Drosophila melanogaster: one gene and its partner. Changing the gene in region 1 together with any one later gene gives a genetic interaction. Each region holds a gene or a part of one and is shown on either strand. Other genes may lie near its edges.

Evidence for each region. A genetic interaction does not mean that the proteins touch.
Region 2: of norpA (region 1) and ktub, changing one suppresses a phenotype caused by changing the other (phenotypic suppression), as found in Drosophila melanogaster (one study listed by BioGRID).

Annotation. Positions count from the first base shown.
Region 1 is NC_004354.4:4,319,539-4,327,772, forward strand, and holds the start of norpA (no receptor potential A), read left to right. Parts: upstream 1-3,087; 5' UTR 3,088-3,617; intron 3,618-4,070; exon of another isoform or gene 4,071-4,263; intron 4,264-5,809; 5' UTR 5,810-6,078; intron 6,079-7,541; exon of another isoform or gene 7,542-7,752; coding exon of another isoform or gene 7,753-8,020; intron 8,021-8,083; coding exon of another isoform or gene 8,084-8,234. Other genes in the region: NO66 (nucleolar protein 66), read left to right, coding at 90-2,051; mRpL33 (mitochondrial ribosomal protein L33), read right to left, coding at 2,280-2,329, 2,393-2,496, 2,553-2,593; CG12693 (uncharacterized protein), read right to left, coding at 7,753-8,020, 8,084-8,234. UniProt on the Drosophila melanogaster protein: The production of the second messenger molecules diacylglycerol (DAG) and inositol 1,4,5-trisphosphate (IP3) is mediated by activated phosphatidylinositol-specific phospholipase C enzymes. Essential component of the phototransduction pathway.
Region 2 is NT_033778.4:21,100,026-21,106,727, forward strand, and holds the start of ktub (king tubby), read left to right. Parts: upstream 1-1,902; 5' UTR 1,903-2,550; coding exon 2,551-2,592; intron 2,593-6,702. Other genes in the region: CG34396 (uncharacterized protein), read left to right, coding at 1-40, 190-1,226. UniProt on the Drosophila melanogaster protein: Functions in regulating protein trafficking, retinal maintenance and lipid storage. Protects photoreceptor cells R1 to R6 against light-induced retinal degeneration by stimulating norpA-mediated endocytosis of the rhodopsin ninaE (Rh1).

The DNA of each region.
Region 1 (8,234 bases):
GTCAAGCTCATAAGTACGTGTCTACAGCCAGGCGTGAGTGTTTAAGACTTTAAGGATTAAGACCTAGTGTCGTTTAAAAAAGCTGCAAAATGAAAAAGGCGACTACTTCCGCGGCCGCCAAGTCTCAAGGCAACAGCAAAATGCAGAAAAACGCAAATAACGGCACAGCTAAAGACAAGAAGAAGCCCAATCTAGATAAAGAATCGAATGATTCCAATTCGGTATCTGATATGCTCGCCGTAACCAAGGACCAAGAGGTGCATGCCTTTTTCTCTAAATTATTCGACGATGACGCCGGTCCATCAACATCCAAAAAGACCCAGTCAGGGTCAGCCGCAGCCGCTAAGACCGCAGATCGCAAGCGACGTCTTCAGGCCGAGGCGGATGCCAACAATAATGATACCGGAAAAGCCGGTAAGTTGACCAAGGAATCGGAAGCTACTCAAGGAGCCAGGGCCACCAAACGCAAGCAAGCACGTAGTCTGGGACTGGAGCGCACCTCGCCGATCCAGGTTAATGGCGCGGCTTTAGCCTGCCCTTTGGTGCGCAAATCGCTGCCCCCAGGGGAGGCCAATTCCTGTCCTCAGCCGCCCAAAAAGGACCCAGCAGCCGTGAACTCATTAGTTAAAATAATTAAGGCGGAACCCACCGAAGAGGGCAATAATAACAATGACGAAAAGGAGACTGAAACAATAGAAACTCACAAAGCCGACAGCGTCGAAGAGGGTCGTCGCGTCCTGCAGTGGATACTCTTTCCGGTCCAAACTAAAGTCTTCTTCAAAGACTTCTGGGAGCACACCGCCTGCCTGGTGCAGCGCTCTAATCCCAAATACTTTCAAAGTATGATATCATTCAAGATGCTTGACGAAATACTGATTCGCCATCATTTGGACTTCACCGTCAACGTGGATGTGACCACTTACAAGAACGGCAAGCGTGAGACACTGAATCCCGAGGGTCGTGCCTTGCCACCAGCTGTGTGGGGCTTCTATTCGGACGGCTGCAGCATTCGTTTACTGAATCCTTCCACCTATCTAATTCGCTTGCGTCAGGTGTGCACCGTTTTGCAGGAGTTCTTTCACTGCAAGGTGGGGGCAAATCTATACCTAACCCCACCCAATAGCCAGGGCTTTGCGCCCCATTACGATGACATCGAGGCTTTCGTTATCCAAGTGGAGGGACGCAAGCGCTGGCTTTTGTACGAGCCGCCCAAGAAGGCCGATCAACTGGCCAGGATCTCGTCGGGCAACTATGATCAAGAGCAGCTGGGTAAGCCCATAATTGATGAGGTACTAAGCGCCGGCGATGTACTATATTTCCCGAGAGGCGCTGTTCACCAGGCCATCACCGAAGAGCAACAGCACTCGCTGCACATTACCTTGAGTGTTTACCAACAGCAGGCATATGCCAATCTTCTAGAGACACTAATGCCCATGGTTCTTAAGAAGGCCGTCGATCGGAGTGTGGCCTTGCGTCGCGGCTTGCCGCTGCACACTTTTCAAGTTTTGGGCAATGCCTACAAGGGAAATGACTGCGGGTCGCGCAAACAGCTGGTGGAGAATGTGCAGAAGCTGGTGACCAATTACTTGATGCCCTCCGAAGATGATATTGATGAGGCCGTCGACCAGATGGCCAAGAAGTTCCAGCACGAGGCACTTCCGCCGATCGTATTGCCCTCGGAGGAGGTGCGCACTGTTCATGGGGCACGCAGTGATGCCGATGAGCAGGGCAACTGCGTCTGCGATTACAAATTCAATAAAAAGACATCCGTGCGCCTGCTGCGTGCCAACATTCTGCGTCTGGTGACCGAGTCCGATGGCAGCGTGCGTATCTACCACCATGTGGACAATGGCCTGGATTACTGCAAGTACGAGCCCTATTTCATGGAGATTCTGCCAGAGGAAGCTAAAGCCGTTGAGCTCCTCATATCGGCCTATCCATTTTACCTCACCATTGATCAGTTGCCATTGGAGTCTTCAGCTCGCAAGATAGAGGTCGCCACCGCCCTGTGGGAGCATGGTCTTCTTATGACCGAGAAGCCGTTTAAGTAGACGGCAATCGAAAGCGAGTTGCTGTTGATAATTAGAATTAAGTATCGATGCGAATGTGTATCTAAAACGAGCGTAAATTAATATTTTTGTATAAATATGTAACCAGATTTATAATGCTCCTATTCTGCCGAAAATAAAGCACCCACATTCGCACATATATCTCGGTTGTTTTTTGGTGTTTCCAATAGTTGTAAATTTTATTTTTTTCACTAACAAAAAATGGTTATCTTAGGCGCTGCGGATTTTCTTGCGTTCACGATAAAGGCTTTCCTGTTGAACTGAAAAAGAAACATGGGCAACATCAGTGCATATGCATAAAGTCAGTGATGGCCGGCACTCACTGTACGGATCGAAGCGTATTATCTCCAATTTGTCGGCCAAGCGATCGCGAAAAGCATTAAACTGATGTCCACTGACCACACTTTCCAGTACGACCATGATGCGCCTGTAAAAACGGTTGGTTTTAACAAAAAGAACAAATTGGATGTCCAAATTACTCACTTGCTCTTCACCTTTTTGAACAAAACGTTAGTTAGACGCATTTTGATTCGGTAAATGGGGAAAATGCAGTGAATTATGGAAATATGCCGCTGAAATTATTGTGCAAGCAAGACGATAGGAACGAAGAACAGCTGACTGCGCCTATCGATTACCACCCGAGGGCTCAAGCTTTTCACCCGGATATTTTGAAAAACAATCGGTGTCCACGTATGATGAGTATATATTTAATATTACTATATTTATATTTGATGCATTTATGTCTCTCTGTTTTAAAGCCTTCCTTTCGAAATTGCTAAAAAGCTCTCAGATGCAATGTGGTTAGTAGAAGTCATTCACATATGTATCTTTGGTTGAAGTCCCTGCCAATTAAATATTAAAAAGTTAACATACAGGTTTGAGTCCGTGCTAGAGACTGCAAGCTGTGCCACTGAGGTTAACAGAAGCCAATCGATACCAAGCGCAAGCACTGAAATGTATCGTCGAGAAACATCGGTGGTCAATGCATTCGATGCTTTTTTACATCACTAACACTCGTGCGAAACGGACGCGAATTTTCATTTGTGCTGCGGAAACCAACAACAACAGACAACAAATAAAAACAAACGAAAAACAAAACGGTCAAAATTCCGTGTAAAAAAACTGAAGCCTTGGAAAAATAGAACGAAAAACATAGACGCACTAAAAGCTCAGTGAAGTCCTTTGTGGGCGAAACCGTATAATAAAATAAATCACAGCCACACGCGCTTTCTGTAACTCCTTTTCGCCTTGCCCTGCTCTTGTTTTCCCTTTTAAATATTTTTTTTACGAGTTGGTTTCCCGAGAATTTCCCATACTCGCGCGTGGTAAACAAGACTCATTTTTTTTTTACAGTGTTTGTTTTTTGAAAGTGCAGAGAAGCTGACAAGAAAGAGATAACAACATAAAAACAGAAACAGCCAAAGAGTGGCAACAACAAACAAACCAACCAAACGGAATCAAAGTCAAACAAACGCGAACGCGAAGGAAGCTTCAAAAGAGAGACAAGAGCGTGAAAAGGAGGTGGAGAGGAGCTGCGGAGAATCTAAGGTAGGAGGCAGATTGCGAAAAATACGTTTTTTTGTTTTTTGTTGATTTGCATTTGCATATTCAAAAGTTCTCTGTTTTGAGGGTTGCAGAAGCGAAATTAGTTTTTAAAGCCCGCTTAGTAGCCAATTTGCCGGAATTGCACATTGGAATTCAGTGTGTTCCTAAGTACATAAATCACTAAAAACTAACGGCAAAAATTCAAATAGCTTTCAACAAATATTTACAATTACTCATTGATAAAAGTGGTAATGTGATCCATGTGTAAGTTGTTAAATTATTTTCGTAGCGCATTTGTACGAATGAAAGACTGCAGTAAAAGTTTTCGATTGCATGCAGATCGCTTTCCGAGTTTAAGAAGAAAAGTTGTGGAAAACGTTTTCCTTCTTTAGAGACATCAACTTAATCAAATATCGAACAGCTAGTAAGCCATTGAAATCACATCAGTTTCTTTCTGTGCATCTGGCAAAGTGCTTGATTGTTGATATTTCGAGAGGGGGTTTTCGAAAAGCGATCGGAAATCCAAATTGTAAATGATTTACCAAAAACGTAAACTTGGCCGTGACGAGGGGCAAGAAATGGTCGAAACGTGGGCTGGAGCGGAGCAGGAGCAGGTGAAATACATAAACAAACAAGTGCTCGAAGGAGGGTTAGTTGTGGGAGGGGCTACGCAAATACATAAGTATATGAATAAATAATATAAACAAAATATTAAATTAGAAGAAATTTACTTGCGCGCACGCCGACGCAAACACGAACACAAGGTGCTGGTTGTTGTTGTTAGGATGGTGTGGATATGTGGTGGGGAGGGAAAAGCACACATAAAATTGAAGTATTCAAATTTACACACGCAAAAAACGACGTCGGCAGAGCAAACAACAATTTGCCAGTCCGCCAGCCCTCTCGCTCGCACCCATCCGCACTTGGTCGCCGCGTCTCGCTCGCACTAACGACGGCCACTTGTTTTGCCCTCTGTCGACGTCCACGCAGCCACTGTGCACTGAAAGAAACAAAAGACATGGTACAACATATTCATGAATCGCTTGTAAGATTGATATTTTTTTATAAACGCTCACTTTTCTGTTAACAATACAATATTTTACTCGAAAAATTTAAGAGTTTAAAATATTTAAACTTTAGTGTAAAATCACTGAGTTATTCGACACTGTTATTTCAAAATAAAAAAAATAATGATTTACGACCGATAAACAAAACAAATTTAAAAAAATTGAGCCGCAAATACTTTAAATCATCCAATTCCCATTTAGCTTTATCATTTTTTTTCTTTTTAATTTTGTAGGTGTTAATTAGCAAATACTCATATTTTCCATCTCTCGCCCAAGCTGCAAATGTGCATTATTCAAGCTCTACTGTAGTTCTACGTAGCTTACTTTTTGTGGCAAGTGTGGCGATCAGAAGCTTTATTATGCTTCTCCCTCATTTCCTTTTGTTTGTTTGAACTGCAACCGAGCGAAAGGGGGCGTGCCAGTGGGCGGTGGGTGGCCTGGGATTGTGCAATAAAGCTATAATAATAAAATAACAAACAAACCGTTAAAGCGAACGCCGTCGCACACTCATCGCACCCACACAAACGCACCATAGGTATTGGTGTGTGGCTGCATGATGGGGCGGAAGAAATGGAGAGGAGAACGGCAGGCGAAGGAACAATAATCATATTTGCACTTGCTCTCTCGCACGATCATCACCCACGCAGAAAGAGCGGGCAAGAGCAGCAGAGAGCGCCGGTACAGTAGTCATTCGTCGCACGTATATAGCTGGCCATAAAAGTGGATAGTCATCAATGTGTACTGTTTAGTTTCATAGCATTTATAGAGCAGTTTAGTTTGTTCAATATATTCATATGCAGATTAATTATTTAAATCAGCACTTATCCGTCTGCACAAAAAGGCCCCACTGTACTTGAGATAAAAGTTCTCCGTTGCTGGCTCTCCGTTCTCAGTTGGTCAGTGGTCGTCCGCCGGAGCTTTTCCCGTTAGTCCGCTCGCATAATATAATCCGCGATAAACAAGGGAACACGGCACGGAGAGAGAGCGAAACGGCAACGTGTTTCGTTTTGGTGTCAGTTTCGGTTTTGTTTGCCGCATGTTTACCCATTGTATTATTATTACCTGTTCTATTTCTTTTTCTTTTTTTTATGTGTGTACATTTTCACAGCAATCGCATATTTTTTGCAGTGGCTGTGAGCTGAAATACAAAAAATAAAAAAAACAAGTGCAACCAAATACAGTGTTACCTGTTGTGAGTAAACTTAAGGAAACGTGGAGAGAGCGAGAGAGTGCGACAGCCGACTGATCAAACTGTAAATCTTGCAATGCTCTTCAAACTGAAATTCGCAAGGCGGGAAAAAACAAACAAATATAAATAAACAAGAATAACAAACAAAAATAGGTAGCAAAAGCAGGAACAACAAAAGCCGAAGCCAATTAATTAAATACATATCTACGTAAGTTAAACACACAAGCCAACACGAACTATGATCAGGACACTGAGAGAAAAAGGATGCAACTGTTTGCTATTGCAAAATAAACTGAAGTAGCATACAAAATGACATGTTTGATTTTAGATTATATTGTGAATTAAAAAGTTCTTAGTCATGACATTCATATTTCGGGGTATCTTAAGTTCATTTGCAAGTTCACTGAGTCATCGCTTGCTTTTAAAATATTTATTATTCCCCAGAGACTACATTATTAAGTCGCAGGCATTATAAGGGATTTGAAAGGGCGGCCAAGCACATGCCTCATTTTGTAATAGATAGTGCATATGCATATTCCCAGTTCCGGAAATATGTATTGTTATCTCTCATATGGAAATTGCTTGGTAACAATTTATGGTCTTGTATGCAGTAAATAATCTTGAATTATCGTAAATTATCAAAAATCGCCGAGGATTACCAATGCGAAGATAAAACGTTGGAGTTTTCGCCCTTCATTTGTGCCTAAAAAAAAAAAACATCGCTTTGTTTTGTGCCTATATATAGAAGCCCGGGTGCAGAGTGCAGGTGTTTGGTTTGTTTGGTATTCGTAGTTTTATATTCGTCGATGAGTAGGCGAAAATATCAGCGGGCTGAATTACATTCCTAATTGCAGATTAGTTTGTTAATAAAAGTGTCCGTCCAACGTCGAGTCTCCGTGCTCCATTTGGCATATCCATTTGGATGATACAATATACATACGTACATACATACATACATACAATGAACACCATTGCCATTCGCACTTTCATACCCATTGCCACAATTATGGTTCGCATTGTATTATGCATTTATCGAGTTAAGGCCTTTGTGCCTACGTCGACTCAGTTCACCTCGCTTGAGTTGAGCCAGCGATTCCGTAATTCGGATGACATTGGGCCCTCCAATGAATGCCAATATTCGAAGTGAGCACACGGCGTATGCGTAATTTTTGTAAAGCTTTTCCGCACTTTGTATCATATTTACTCGACACTCTTTGTGTCCAATGAACATATCGTCAGTAGCTACTTGATCAGTGTTTATTAATTAAATACAAGACCATTTCAGTGTTAGGCTACTAATTATTGAAACAAATTAATCCCCAAGTACTTAATGCAGAGTTACAGTCTACAGTTCAAAGTAGAGGAGAAAGCACATTGCTGTGTGCAAAAGTAATGGGTATTTTATTGACCAAATACAAACAGTCATAACATTCTGGCAGGCTATTGGCTATTCACTACCAAACTGTCAATCGTGTTTGAATACCATTTCGAAATTAGAATGAATTGTGTATTTTGCGGTCCGCCGCAACGAAACTATAATGTGTGGGGACAGTCGTCACATTCGGATGTTGCAATCAAGTGAGTTGGAAAAAATGGGATTTGGACATGCACGTTATGAGTTTATTTCGCTTTAGTTTTATTTTAAAGCAAAAAGGAAATAAGAAAAAATGTAAAGTTTAAGACTGGTACAAAATTTATTCGAAATTTGTTTTTCGTTTAGGAAAAACCGTGGGCACATTAAAGATGAAATATATCTAATATACGCATAAAATTTGTGGTATTGTGTTGCTCAGCTACCTGATTCCTAGTTAATACGCTTCTCATTCGTCGTTGCACGTCCCTGGATGCGTAGCCAGAGTCCTTTTCGCATCCTTCAGCCAAATCAATACATTCTAGCATTTAGCAAAAAGATGGCGACCATGCCTATTCGGAGTAAATTGTCCTTCATTGGGGGTGTGGTGAACGATGGCGCCACACAATCGAGTATTCCGGCCACCACGTGGTATATGCAAGAACGGAAAGACTGCCATTTGACGGCAGCCATGTATAAGATCAGCCGGCGAGTAAAGCTCATTTTCTCCTTCAGACTCGAAACCTCCTTCTGCAGTTCGACTTCCAGTCCGGTTTGGCTCAACGTCTCCCGGTACCTTCTGTTGGAAAACGTTTTTTAACAAACGATTTTAGTGAGAACCTAGTGTCTAGTGACAACATACATCTCCAGGTGAATCAGTTCCTGTTCATAGTATCTTAGTGTCTCATAAGCAGCGTCCAGTTTTCGCTGTTTCTCGCCAAGCGCCACCGACATTTGATCGTTCTGCATGAGAAACTTATCCTTCATCGTTAGCAGTGCATCCTCCAGATCGG
Region 2 (6,702 bases), on another chromosome or scaffold:
AATTGCTTCATCTTCTGTTGGACCGTGATCACAACTATAGGTAATGGGTTACAATGGACCCATAACCATCCAAAACTCCTAAATCCTTTCGTTAGTTCTTATATATGAGCATATTTCCATTTTAGGTTCTTTTTTTAGTTAGTCATATTTAACTTATTAACTCCCATGCCTTCTTCTCTTCCTTTCCAGGTTACGGCCACATCACTCCAAAGACGGGCATGGGTCGATCCCTGACCATCGTCTATGCCATCATCGGCATCCCCATGTTCCTGATCGTGCTGGCCGATCTGGGCAAGTTATTCACGCGCTGCGTCAAGTTCCTGTGGGTGTATGTGCGACGGATGTACTACACGCGCTCCTGCCGCCGGATACGAAAGCAGCAGCAGATCCGGAGCGCCATGACAGGCTTCAATACGATGTACGACATGGCCATCCGCAGGCCGAGCATGTTCTTCAGCAACTCTGCGCCAGAGAACGATGAGGAGTCGCAGGCGGATGCCGAGGCCGCAAGATCGGTGGGCACCTCGCACCCGGAGACACCCACATCACCCTATCCAGAGACCTTCGAGGTGGACGACGAGTTCAATTTGCCAGTGTCGGTGGCCTCGCTGCTGCTCATTACGTACATCCTCCTAGGATCCTTCGGCTTTCTAATGATGGAGCCCAGCTGGACTCCACTGGATGCCTTCTACTACGTGTTCATCTCGATGTCCACAATTGGGTTCGGCGACCTGGTGCCCAGTAATCCCTTCTACGTAATGGTCAGCATGATCTATCTGATGTTCGGCTTGGCCCTGACCTCCATGTTCATCAATGTGGTGCAGATCAAGCTGAGCGATCACTTCAAAATGGCCAGCGCCAAAGTGGGCGCCACCATTGGCATGAACATGACCAGCGAGCTTGGTGATGAGGGCGGCTCCCAGGTGAAGACTCCCTCCGAGCTTGCCTCGGTGCACGGTTCGCGACTGGACAGGATCGAGGAGGATGGCCAGGAGGCGAATGGCAATGGCCACTCCCCGGTGCCACCACTCACCTCGATCCTGCGCGCACCGCGTCCTCTATCGCCGGCGTCCAATGGAGTGGATGCTAATGGAGTTGGAGCCGATGCTGTTGGAGCTGGGGATGTTACTCCGCCACCTCTGCTGCCCAGGCGTCAGGTTTCCGTGGATCCCCAGCCGCCGGCGGAGGGGGAGAACAAGAAGAAGAAAAAGCACAGGTTTTTCTAGAATCCCTGGGATCTTCCGCCTCCAAACAAAAAAAAAACCGACAAAGTTAACGTGTAAGAAACCTCAAAAATGACAAGGCAATTTCAATCGAATTTACCGTAACGCGAAACTCTATATTCATTTATTTGTTATTTAATTTTACTCACCATCATCGTAGCATAAGTCTAATGTTAATGAAATAAAGCGCGCGAGTTGACAACGCAAATTGATGTTTTTAATTGTTGTAAATTCCGCTTAAGGATCATAATCATAAAGTTGTATAATTTTTCAACACTCTATTATCCTGTTATCAGCGTGGTTTTTTGCTCAATCCGGAATCGAATTGCCAGATGCGTATGCTTTGTACGGGAATGCATCCCAAAATCCCAGTAACAGGGAGTCGGGGGCGCGAATCCAAATGCAGTCGCAGTCGGCAGCTGCACATCTGTCGCTCGTAGGAAATGGAAGAGGAAGCAGCCACAGGAGGCGTTGTGCGGAGAGAGAGAGAGAGAGGGAGAGAGGGAGAGACCCATTCCCATTGAGAGCGAGTTGTGGTTCTCTCTGCCTCTCTTTCGCTGACACACGACAGGATGGCATGCTTCGCACTCCTGCTTCGGCTGGCATTCGTGTGCATGTTCCGTTTCCATTCCGTTCCGCTACGAGCACTTCGCCTGAGTTGACGGCTTCTGTTGGACGCCCAGTTGTTGTTTTGGCAGCGTGCGGTTCGGTCGACGGGTTACATCGCCTTCTCTCCTCTACCAAAATAAAGAGGCGCCAAATTCAATCAATTGGACAATATCACACGCAACTCAACGGGCACGAAAGTGTTTGTCAAACAACATAGATTGTATAACATTATAAATATATGCATATTCAGGCGGTACTCGCTCAGTGGCTAAAGCAAACATTCAGTGCCAGCGATCCGGAGAATTCCGATCGATCGCGTCGGTACAAAAAAAATTGAGCGAGAACAGGAAGAGCCGGCTGTTGGCTTCAGTCTACAAATCCTCACCCTCGTGAACACCCCTTGATTTTTTTGTTGTCGCGTGTGCTGCCGTACTACACTACCACAAACTACAAAATATATACCATACCATACAAACTGACGCCAGGTGTGCTAAATTCATAGATTCTTCTTCAATTATTTTGGTGCCCCATCGGTTTTTGTTTTGCTGCATTCATTCGCATTCGAAAAGTCGCTCTTCAACGCAAATCCCAAAACAGCTGTCACTCCCGAATATTTGCCAAATGCCTCTTCATCGGATCATCTGAATCGCGCGTAGTTAAGTGAAAATCGTCAGAGGATTTTGATTGCCTTCTGAAATCTACAGCCATAACTGCAAAAATGTCCGGAATCAACAGTCGTAATCAGAAAATGGAACAGCAGGTAAACCCAACACTCCAATTTGGCAGATCTTTTCTAGATTTTACCAAACCTATAATCTTTGATAATGTAATCTCTGAAATTTGAATTTCTTTAAATGTGTCATTCATATCCATTGTGTTTGATAATCTTCATAAAGTGGACACATTAAACCAACGATCCTATATTATAACAAAACCAATCTATACATACGACAGCGAAATTTATGAACAATTTAATGGCTACTTGTATTAAACTTTTGCTTTAGCTAAGAATTCTTTAAGAACTTTTTTTCAATTGACCATGAATCAAGGCAAGTTAGCACTGGCCTTTTAACTCTTCCAGCCCGACGGTTCGTGAATGTGGTCTAGAAACAAGAAAATCCACTCCTTTCTTGGAAAACTCGGGCAGCCCATAGCAATCAGCGCCAGCAGAAAAGGGGCCATCAGCCGGCATTACACGGAATTGTTCACTTTTTGGCCTCAAAGTTGACCGCTCTAAATGTGCCACCCCTTAAAGGCAACAAAAAAAAAAGGAAAATGAAACACCCAAGTGGCTTAACGCCTTCTCCAAGTGGTTTTGTTGTGCCCGTTTGCTCGTGGCCAGGTGTTCGTCCGTTGTCCTGGCAACGGCGTCCAAATAAATCGAAACGAAGCTCCTGGTGGTGGTGCAGTTGCTGCAGTCCGATTCGATTGTCATTGGCCCTAATTATGTTGAGTGGCACGGAACCAAAAGGCACCCTACTCCACCCACTGGCTCATAAATCGAATCACTTCGATGTGGTTGAGTTGGGCTGCCAAGTGTGGGAGGTCCTGGGTCCTTCGAGTTACTTCGATTTCGTGCCGCTATGGCTTATAAAACATTGAGCAGCTATTGACAGCTTCTTCGAATGGGAGGACATTTTGAAAACATTATGCCAAGTCATTTCAGCTACAAATGAAATAGCTTGAAAGAAATCGAAAATAAGTGGAAGCCATGGGAGCGCATTTCATTTTGATTGAATTTTAATTTTAATTATAAATTCACATTGAATCATCTCACAAATTCCCATGAATTAACACATTTCGTGATTACCATTTTAAAGCAGCTTGTTTGAATAATGTTTGCTTTATCACATTCATTTTCAAATGCGAGTATAAATATGATAAATATTCACTTGCTGAGTCAAGCTAATTTTCTTTGAACGTGTTAGCATAGAACATTAATCCTTCCGAACAATCGTTTTGGGTCATTTTCTCGAGCTTAAGCCAACACAAAGTTATATCCGCCATAAAAAAGAGAATGTGGCACAAAAAAACGGAGTCAATTTGCACTTGGCATAAATCAACAGAAAGATATATGGCAGTCAACTCATAAAGTGGTCGCTAAATATACACAAAGGATTAATAAAGTCTTCGGCCTGGACGCCAGCTAACCCACAATGTAGTATCCTTTCTTTGATTGGTGTCCTGCGTCACTATGGGCAACTACCCACACACACACACACACAGATATGTCCAGGCAGACAGGATTCTATAGTATCCCCATAGGAACACAGACAGACAGCGCAACTAGAAATATACACAATACCATTCGTTGGCATTGTTTTCGTATTGCCATCACCCATGGAATACCATTAAGCGAGGCCACAAAATCGATTCCCGCCTGGTGACGAGTCCTTCAGCTTCGCGAGGAACTGAGCCGCAGGATAATGCCCAGCAATAAGTCACACAATTGTTCACTACTTCCACATATGAATATAATATTTGCTTTCCGCAAATCGCTCAAGCTTTTCCTCACGCAAGTCGTAAAAAGAAACATTTCGGCCAAAAAAAAAGGATGTGACGCACCGACTTTTTCTAATAAGTTACTTGCGTAGATTAGGGTGAACCTTTAAAGCTTGAGAAGTGATTAAAAAATATGATTTGACTAGAGTAGAGCTCAAGCAGAAAAGAGACCCGCCATCTAACTGACCATATATAACTTTCTTTTGATCAAATGAACAAAGTTTATTCGGTGTACTTCCAACTGCTGTTTTTAGCATTAAGAAAAAGGTCCACCCTAATATGTATATTAGCCTAACTTCACTTAGCTTTACGGCTTTTGCCCTTTGTTTCGAGCCTGTAATTTTCGTTCTGTTGCTTCAAATACGAGGTTCTTGACCCAACGAGAGGAAAAGCCGGCTAAAACGAAATCGAATTTACCAAACTTTTCGTCTGACAGCCAAAGTCGAGATTTAATATTTAATAAGAATACGATACCTTATTAAATGTGCATTTGGAGCTGTCATTATGAACTGATTGATTGTTTCGGTAAGAGCTGTATTATTATTTGACTTCTGTCTCAAATTACCCGGCACTTGTAGAATCAAAATAATAACCACAACTATTTGATTAAGAATTTTGTGGAAATTTTCCATGGCCTACCGCGGATAATTTAGATAAAGGAAACACCGAATTGAACTCACTTCCATCAAGGCCATAATTATATGAAAAGCGGAAAAGCTCGTGTTATGTTTTATAATTCATGAGACCCAAAGAAAATTCAAAAATTAAAAAACCATCCATTGAATTGAGTTAACGCCAAGGAAAAAAAGGAGAACCACTTATGTTATCCAAAGAGCGATTCATTTTCAATTAAAGCCAACAAATTTTGACACATATACTAATAGCTGGCAATAAATTGCAGGATGAAAGCGTTCATAGCTCTGTGCTGGCATTTCTTTTCAACAGCTCGTTTTTCAGTTTATGTCCCTGCCATTTTCATTTGGCTAAAACTGCAGTTGGCAGTTGCCAGTTGCCGGCTTAGTGGAAAAGCTGCAAACTCCAATTTTCGTTTCCCATTGGGGACTTTAAACTTTTCCTTGCCAAAGGAAGGACATCACTCAAATGCTGGAAAATTTTACGCAGAGTAATTGGGGGGAAGATTTTTAAATTCACCCACAGGAACATTAAGTTACACCAAAAATCCCTTTAGCCATAAGAATTCATGCCTCATAAAATAAGGAATCAAATTTCATTTTCATGTAAAAGTGCCACCATTTTAAGTGCAAAATGAGTAGAGCCAGATACTGTGACATTAAATTAGCAGCTTGGGAATGTTTCGTCGTCCTTGCAGGACCTCATTTCAATTGCAGATTCCATTAGCTGCAATTTGCTAGTGCATCGCACCCGGAGCAACTGCAACCGTAGGCGGCAAACTTGATACAATTTATCAAACAGACACAAAGTTTCGGCATCACAGTTGCCCATATGCAGGATTCGAGGAGCAGCAGAGCATCCTGCCTGATGCAAATTAATTGCATTCCCGGGAAAACGGAAAACTTTCGGCACACGGCTTTTGCCACCTAAGTGCAGCGGTTTTTGCCGATTTTCCAGTAAAAACAAATTTATTTCATGCCGTATATGAATATATCTGTTTTAATTGGCAAACTTGTGGCGGCAACATACACGTACTATTTAAGGTAATATTTTGCAAATATCTAGCCACAATCCGTAAATCTGGCAATAGCAGATATATTGAATAAATATAAATGCAAGCGACGGAAATAATTGTAATAAATTAAAGTCAGACTACTGAATATGCTCACTGAGTTAAGTTAAACGTAGCTTGTTTTATTAAATCAAATTACTTGCTTTAATAGCCACCTACTTTAACTGCAATTTTATTTATACTGATCCGCATTTAAGCAACTGCATGGCTATTTTTGCTGTGTATCGAAAAATGACCAATTAAATTGAAATGTCTTTAATCGCCTTTTGCCCAGTGGTTGTGTATTGCGGTCCGCTGTCACACGTGTGGTTTGCTGCGGTTTGCTGCGGATTGCTGCGGCGGAAACTGCAGCTGACAGTTTGCAGAGCTCACGTCACTGATTAAGTGGTCGGGTGGTCTGTGGTTTCTTCTTTCATAGCCCGAATCCTTCAACTGCCATCAGTAGGCGATTAGTCCTTATACCGGGATTAGTTTTCAGAATGAAAATGGTTTGGTGCTACTAATTCTGTGCTCGCCAAATTGTTTATGTTGCTGTCTGATTTAATATTTATGCAAATTCTGTTTGCCAACAGATTATTGCACTTGTCTTTTTCAATTGTAAACTAATTAGGCCGTTTATGTGGTCGGCTAATTAAAATGCATGCAAGGTGTGGAAATAATGCG